Linked DNA regions of Xenopus tropicalis. The protein of the gene in region 2 purifies or fractionates together with the protein of the main gene of each other region. This does not show direct contact. Links are inferred from orthologs where the notes say so. Each region holds a gene or a part of one and is shown on either strand. Other genes may lie near its edges. The genes, in order: tctn3 and tctn2.

What was found.
Region 1: the proteins of tctn2 (region 2) and tctn3 purify together in Homo sapiens (affinity purification with mass spectrometry; 3 studies listed by BioGRID and IntAct, with this or other methods). This does not show direct contact. The link is inferred for Xenopus tropicalis from reciprocal best matches to the Homo sapiens genes TCTN2 and TCTN3.

Annotation. Positions count from the first base shown.
Region 1 is NC_030685.2:529,228-533,572, forward strand, and holds the start of tctn3 (tectonic-3), read right to left. Parts: upstream 2,870-4,345; 5' UTR 2,628-2,869; coding exon 2,570-2,627; intron 1,261-2,569; coding exon 1,137-1,260; intron 1,041-1,136; coding exon 916-1,040; intron 1-915.
Region 2 is NC_030677.2:160,942,337-160,946,751, forward strand, and holds the start of tctn2 (tectonic-2 precursor), read right to left. Parts: upstream 2,857-4,415; 5' UTR 2,832-2,856; coding exon 2,759-2,831; intron 2,205-2,758; coding exon 2,094-2,204; intron 1,808-2,093; coding exon 1,728-1,807; intron 816-1,727; coding exon 626-815; intron 1-625.

The DNA.
Region 1 (4,345 bases), on a different chromosome or scaffold from region 2:
TTAGTGACAGAGAGCACTGTGGGATATAAAAGGGCGGGGCCAGAGGTATTAGTGACAGAGAGCACTGTGGGATATAAAGGGGCGGGGCCAGAGGTATTAGTGACAGAGAGCACTGTGGGATATAAAGGGGCGGGGCCAGAGGTATTAGTGACAGAGAGCACTGTGGGATATAAAGGGGCGGGGCCAGAGGTATTAGTGACAGAGAGCACTGTGGGATATAAAGGGGCGGGGCCAGAGGTATTAGTGACAGAGAGCACTGTGGGATATAAAGGGGCGGGGCCAGAGGTATTAGTGACAGAGAGCACTGTGGGATATAAAGGGGCGGGGCCAGAGGTATTAGTGACAGAGAGCACTGTGGGATATAAAGGGGCGGGCCAGAGGTATTAGTGACAGAGAGCACTGTGGGATATAAAGGGGCGGGGCCAGAGGTATTAGTGACAGAGAGCACTATGGGATATAAAGGGGCGGGGCCAGAGGTATTAGTGACAGAGAGCACTGTGGGATATAAAGGGGCGGGGCCAGAGGTATTAGTGACAGAGAGCACTATGGGATATAAAGGGGCGGAGACAGAGGTATTAGTGACAGAAAGCACTATGGGATATAAAGGGGCGGGGCCAGAGGTATTAGTGACAGAGAGCACTGTGGGATATAAAAGGGCGGGGCCAGAGGTATTAGTGACAGAGAGCACTGTGGGATATAAAGGGGCGGGGCCAGAGGTATTAGTGACAGAGAGCACTATGGGATATAAAGGGGCGGGGCCAGAGGTATTAGTTACAGAGAGCACTGTGGGATATAAAGGGGCGGGGCCAGAGGTATTAGTGACAGAAAGCACTATGGGATATAAAGGGGCGGGGACAGAGGTATTAGTTACAGAGAGCACTATGGGATATAAAGGGGCGGGGCCAGAGTACTTACAGTCACTTGGCAGGACACAGAAGAGATTGGGGGATCCAGGAGTAACAGGGGCAATATTTGTGGTTGGATACGGGGCGTTGCTACGGAACATGAGCCAGCTGGAGAGGCACGCCCACCTCTGCACCCTGTAAGGGGAGAGAGCAGTGTAACGTTACTGGGGGGCAGAATGTCAGTATGCAGTGGGGCACTAGGGAGGCACAGGGGGCAGATAGGGCACTTACTTGGTGCTCCCCGGGAGGCAGAAGGAGAAGACAGTTGTGGGGTCACTGAGGGAACAGTCGGGGTCACAGCAGCAGTTCAGATCACAGAGTCCAGGGGAAAGGTCACAGGTACAAACACCGACCCCTGTAACCCAGGGAGACAATGTATAGTGGGGTCAGTCCCCTTTCCCCGTTATTCTTCTTATTAACTTGTCTTTATAAGGGAGAGGCACCCTGGCACCCTGACACTGACACCCTGGCACCGACACCCTGGCACTCTGGCACCGGCACCCTGGCACTCTGGCACTGACACCGGCACCCTGTAACCCAGGGAGACAATGTATAGTGGGGTCAGTCCCCTTTCCCCGTTATTCTTCTTATTAACTTGTCTTTATAAGGGAGAGGCACCCTGGCACAGACACCCTGGCACCGACACCCTGGCACCCAGGGAGACAATGTATAGTGGGGTCAGTCCCCTTTCCCCGTTATTCTTCTTATTAACTTGTCTTTATAAGGGAGAGGCACCCTGGCACCCTGACACTGACACCCTGGCACCGACACCCTGGCACTCTGGCACCGGCACCGACACCCTGGCACTCTGGCACTGACACCGGCACCCTGGCACCCAGGGAGACAATATATAGTGGGGTCAGTCCCCTTTCCCCGTTATTCTTCTTATTAACTTGTCTTTATAAGGGAGAGGCACCCTGGCACCCTGACACTCTGGCACCAACACCCTGGCACCCTGACACTCTGGCACCGACACCCTGGCACCCTGACACAGACACCCTGGCACCGACACCCTGGCACCCACACCCTGGCACCGACACCCTGGCACCCCGGCACCCACACCCTGGCACCCACACCCCGGCACCCACACCCTGGCACCGACACCCTGGCACCCTGACACCGACACCCTGGCACCCACACCCTGGCACCCACACCCTGGCACCCTGACACCGACACCCTGGCACCCACACCCTGGCACCCACACCCTGGCACCCTGACACTGACACCCTGGCACCGACACCCTGGCACCCCGGCACCCACACCCCGGCACCCACACCCCGGCACCCACACCCTGGCACCCACACCCTGGCACCCACACCCTGGCACCCACACCCTGGCACCCTGACACTGACACCCTGGCACCGACACCCTGGCACCCCGGCACCCACACCCCGGCACCCACACCCCGGCACCCACACCCTGGCACCCACACCCTGGCACCCACACCCTGGCACCCACACCCTGGCACCGACACCCTGGCACCCACACCCTGGCACCCTTCTGACATACTGCCAAACCCAGTGCCAGTCGCGCCCCATACAGACCCTAGCGCACCTGGTTACTGGGGGATGCTGGGAAATGTTGCATTGTGGGTAGAACCCTGTGTAAGGGACAGGCCCTCAGTACAGCGGGGGGGGGGGGTTACTATCAGGGGGTCCCCTTACCTGTCAAAGCCCGAACCCCCCCGGCCCAAACCAGCAGAACCGTCAGTACCGGAACCATCGCGCTCTCCGCGTCCCGTCTCCTTGGCAACTGCCTCACTTCCGGCCCGCCATTCAGCCTCTGCGCTACCTCACTTCCGGCCCGCCATTGGTCCTCTGCGCTACCTCGCTCCGCCCACCCCGTGGGATTATGGGATATGTAGTTCTGAGGGGATAATCCCAGGGGCGGGTATAACTGCCTCACTTCCGGCCCGCCAATGGTTCTCTGCGCTACCTCGCTCCGCCCACCCCGTGGGATTATGGGATATGTAGTGCTGTGGGGATAATCCCAGGGGCGGGTACAACTGCCTCACTTCCGGCCCGCCAATGGTCCTCTGCGCTACTGCTCCGCCCAGCCCCGTGGGATTATGGGATATGTAGTGCTGAGGGGATAATCCCAGGGGCGGGTCTGGCTCTTATCTGTGGGGCGGGAAAAGATGAGGGCTTTAAGTAGGCCCCCTCCCCCAGCCCCAAATGTAATGCCCCTGGGGAATCATTATGGGGGGGGGGGTATTATATTGGGGCACAGAGAGTCCATGGGCCTTAGTGCCCCCCAGCTACTATAATGCCCCAGGGGTATCAGTATGGGGGGGTTATTATATTGGGGCACAGAGAGTCCATGGGCCTTAGTGCCCCCCAGCTACTATAATGCCCCTGGGGAATCAGTATGGGGGGGTTATTATATTGGGTCACAGAGAGTCCATGGGCCTTAGTGCCCCCCCAGCTACTATAATGCCCTGGGGAATCAGTATGGGGGGTTATTATATTGGTCACAGACAGTCCATGGGCCTTAGTGCCCCCCCCAGATACTATAATGCCCCAGGGGAATCAGTATGGGGGGGTTATTATATTGGGTCACAGAGAGTCCATGGGCCTTAGTGCCCCCCCAGCTACTATAATGCCCCAGGGGAATCAGTATGGGGGGGTTATTATATTGGGTCACAGAGAGTCCATGGGCCTTAGTGCCCCCCCAGCTACTATAATGCCCCAGGGGAATCAGTATGGGGGGGTTATTATATTGGGTCACAGAGAGTCCATGGCCCTTAGTGCCCCCCAGCTACTATAATGCCCAGGGGAATCAGTATGGGGGGGTTATTATATTGGGTCACAGAGAGTCCATGGGCCTTAGTGCCCCCCAGCTACTATAATGCCCCAGGGGAATCAGTATGGGGGGGTTATTATATTGGGGTCACAGAGAGTCCATGGCCCTTAGTGCCCCCAGCTACTATAATGCCCCTGGGGAATCAGTATGGGGGGTTATTATATTGGGTCACAGAGAGTCCACGGGCCTTAGTGCCCCCCCAGCTACTATAATGCCCCAGGGGAATCAGTATGGGGGGGTTATTATATTGGGTCACAGAGAGTCCATGGCCCTTAGTGCCCCCCAGCTACTATAATGCCCCAGGGGAATCAGTATGGGGGGGTTATTATATTGGGTCACAGAGAGTCCACGGGCCTTAGTGCCCCCAGCTACTATAATGCCCCTGGGGAATCAGTATGGGGGGTTATTATATTTGGGCACAGAGAGTCCATGGGCCTTAGTGCCCCCCAGCTACTATAATGCCCCTGGGGAATCAGTATGGGGGGGTTATTATATTGGGTCACAGAGAGTCCATGGGCCTTAGTGCCCCCCAGCTACTATATGCCCCTGGGGAATCAGTATGGGGGGGTTATTATATTGGGTCACAGAGAGTCCATGGGCCTTAGTGCCCCCCAGCTACTATAATGCCCCTGGGGAAT
Region 2 (4,415 bases):
CCAAAGGCATAATGGCAATGAAAAAGTCGCAACAATTCTCCAAAGGCATAATGGCAATGAAAAAGTCGCAACAATTCTCCAAAGGCATAATGGCAATGAAAAAGTCGCTACAATTCTCCAAAGGCATAATGGCAATGAAAAAGTCGCTACAATTCTCCAAAGGCATAATGGCAATGAAAAAGTCGCTACAATTCTCCAAAGGCATAATGGCAATGAAAAAGTCGCTACAATTCTCCAAAGGCATAATGGCAATGGAAAAGTCGCGACAATTCACGAAATTTGCTATGGCTATGAAAAAGTTGCGACAATTCGCGCAAGTCGTACCGGTTACGAAAAAGTTGCGACAATTTACGGGAAAGTCGTAAAGGCGCCGAAAAAATCGCAAAAATACGAAAAAGTCGCAAAATGTTCGTTTTCCAATCGGAATTTTTCCAATTCGGATTCGAATTCGTGTCTTAGTAAATCAGCCCCTAGGTGTCACTGCCCTAAATGTAGCTTGCACAACCTAATTTTCCCCATCAGGCATAAGCATCAAGTTAGGATCTCTGCATAAGCACATTTCTTACTAACACATACAGAGTATACTGATGCTTTACAAGATATCAAGAAAGAATCAATTGCTTACCAGAAATGGTCCCAGAGAAAGTTGTATTACTATAGATTTCTGCTTCAACAAGCAATGTGGCAATAGAAGTATTATTCACACAAGCAGAAATTTGAAGAGTCTGCACAAAGCAAGGCACATCGGTGCAGCAATTAGTCACATTCTGGGTGCAAGGTGTCTGATTCAAACTGAGGGTGAACACATAGGCATTCTGTAATCAAAGTTAAACATTTACAGATTACTACATGTGGTAATTTATATCTTATTTGCCCTAGATTTCTGTTTATCTACCTTTCAATGCTGCTAAGACACTGAGTTTTCTTTTCTTTTGTTTTTTTTTAACCTTTTTTGGTACCACTACAGAAGTGCCCTGGACCAGAGCATTTTTCTGCAAACAAGAGAACCGGCCTGGTGTGGTGGCTAACATTTGGTACGCCCTGGAGCAGGGGTCCTCAAACTACGGCCCACGGGCCGGATAGAGCCCCCCAAAGGTCATTTACCCAGCCCCTGCGGGTCATCAGCACTGGCCAGTGAGACACGGTTACCAGACGCGCTGGGGCCAAGGATCACGCTGAGGCAGACAGGTAGTAGCCAGGGGTGAGGAAGGATGCAGTGGGGGAGGGCCATAGTTTGTGCACTAACTATAGTCTGGCCCCCCGGTGAACTGTCTCTTTAAATGGGATTGTAGTGACCCACCATTAACTGAATGGAGACTGATTTTTGGGTCCTAAACCACAGGTTCTGCTGGTCAGATATATATCTGCATGATCATTCCCAGGAAAGTCCTAGATTTTTAAACAGGATGATGTACTATTATACCCAGAAATCAAATTTGTAACTGCTATAGTAACTTAAAAAGATTGCTTAAACCATAATAAAATGTCTTCCCATTATAAAACCATTTCCAGCAAAAAATATGGATAAAAAAATGGATATATGGATATAAATTAGCTTCTAATAGCAATACATTCACAGCACTTCAAGGGACCACAAACATGTTATTAGAAAGAGAGTTTCAGTACAATAACATAAAAAAAAATAAAAGATATACAATTATAATAAATATTTACTGGAAACATATTAAAAACGTTATTCTTTCTGATAAAGTTTTAGAAATGCTTACCACATTTTGCAAAGGAACCAGAGATGTTACCCAGGTCTCTGTGCTGTTTTGTCCATCACAACGTGGAGCTGGTATTACATCTAAGATGAAAACAGCATACAAAATGAACAGGGGTCTTGCTGCAACTCACAAAACAGCAAAATAATATGCATTATGGTGTTGCAGGGCCGTGTTTCTTTTTTCCCCCAGGGCACAGCTATATTTTCTCTGGCCTAGGAAACATATCAATTGGGTTCACTGGGGGTGAAAACAAATTGACAATATTGGGGCCCAATAGAGAAGTACCCTGAACTACTTATGGCTGACCTATGTTCTGTGGGGAATAATAAAAAATATTGTTATAATGATTTCCAGAAAATAGAGTACCTGTATTATTAATCACAGTTATAGACACACCAATAGGTGAAGGATTTGCCACATTTGTAAGAAACGATGTTGCACTATGTCCACGTAAGATGATTCTGGAAGGGTAAAAAGCTATAAAAAGAGGGAGAAACATTTAAAATCAAAGTAATGTTTTATTCACACATATAACCTTTTTCATTCGTGCCACAAGTAACTAGTGGCACATATAGATCACCGTTTGTTTCACCATTCCCGAGGGCTGCTGAGACTTTCTTTCTTTCTGCTTATACAAGAATGTCATATTTTTATTTCTAAGCACTGAAACTCAAAATATGATTATTCTTAGCAGAGTGATTTCACATGATGTTAATGGGCCTTAAAGAAAATGTATTTTAGGGCCCCCAAAAATCTTCAGTATGGGTAGTTATTTTTACAAAATTGTCATGAAATGGCTCAGTAATGACACTGTGAAGTCCCCTGACAATCATTCACATCATAAAACCAAAGCGTTCCAAGAACTGATCTCAAGAGTCCAAGTCCGTGGCACTATTGGGCAAGTATTTGGCAAATGGTAAAAAAAAATAAAAATCTAAATAATTTTACAAGCCACTTTTGACTTCAAATTTCCCACTGTCACAGCAGCTGGAATCTCCCTTGCCTATGCAATAAACCCATCACCATCTTACTTTGCGCCAATGTCGTTGTCATCACGGCAGCACATATTAGAAAGAACAGACAAGGGGCCCGCGGGTTCGACATTATCCACTGAATGCTTCAACAATAGCGCCCGAACGCGTTGCTAGGACGCCATGTCCAAACTCACGTAGAGTACAGTAACTATGACAAGCCTGGCCAATGCGCCGCCAGCACACAGTCACGTGTATGTAAACCTTTATTGCGCGACGGCTGTTTTGATGAATGCTGGGAATTGTAGTCACAAAAGGCACAATCATTTTCTGTGTAGAACAGTGAATTTGATTGGGTATTTAGTTTTGTCAGATCTCTTTCGCTTTTGGTGGAATTGAAACAGTGAGCTAAATAACTCATTAGTAAGGTTTGAGCTGTAGGGAAAGAACTCTAGTGAGTGAGTCTATTTACTAGCTAATAGGCCATTCATTTCAGACTGAGGGTTCAATGCTCCTAGCTTTAAAACTAAGGGATTGGGATCAGGGCAAACTCCACTGTCCCTCAATGAATTAACTAATATAACAATTTATAAAAGTACTACATTAACTTTTCAGCAGTGGAATGTCTAGTTATTTAGCCCCACAACATGATAGTTGAGTCCCTAACATGGGGAACAAGAAATTAAACCTATAAATTTAGCTGCTTATTAGGCCGTCCCACTGTGCCACTATAGTTACAGGGTCTGTTTCCTCTATAGTTACACCCGTGCTTAAAATGATAACTGGCCACCAAAGTTTCTGATAGTGGCTCTGGAATCAGGTTACCAGGGATGGCAAAAAGTAGCCTCTGGCTACAGGTACCAGTGAATCTATGGCCTTGAGTTTAGCTTGTGTGGTGTCCAGGGCCATAACCAGGGGTAGGCAGAAGAGACACCTGCCTAGGGCGCAACTATGGGGGGGCACCAGGCAGGTACCTCTTCTGCCTACCCCTACAATCCACGCCACCACTTGACACATGTGCATTCACCTTCTCCTACACAACCCTCTCTTAATAATACAGTCAGACAAATTCTAACTGAAACACTTATTTTCTGTCCAAGTTATTCCACTGAACTGTGGCTTTTATATCTGTAACCTCGTTATAAGCTAAGAGCATCCCTGACCAAATTATGAAAGAGGTGTGATGGTCCTGATTGCTTACATATAAAGTCTGATGGGTGGGAGACAGAGAACTACAATTCACAGACTTACCTACAGACATATTTTGCAGAATGTTTGCAACTGTGTGAGTTGCAACTCAGTGTGGCTGCAATTCAGTGTTGCTGCTTATCACAAATTTGGGACTAGTCTGCAAAATTTTAGCATGGGGTGTGGGAGTGTTCTGTACACTTGAAACACTAACAGTGCCTTTTCTGCCATAACACAAGCTGGGATCAGGCTACACTTTACACACAGTGGTTGAACTATAAGATTTGTTCTTCCTCCAGAAATTCAGTGTGGAGAGATATTGTTCTGTGTACACTTGCAAGTCAAACACTACAGGTAAGTGTGATGGTCTACATTGGGTCTGTTGCCTAAGCACCTCTGAGTACTAACACATTTTTTTTGCAAGCAAATAGAACCACTGTTAGAAAACTAACACTTAGGTTTCAGTGAGGCCTTCATCTGACACTAGCAACTTGCAGCCTTGTTTCTTGTGACATACTGGGGGTCATTT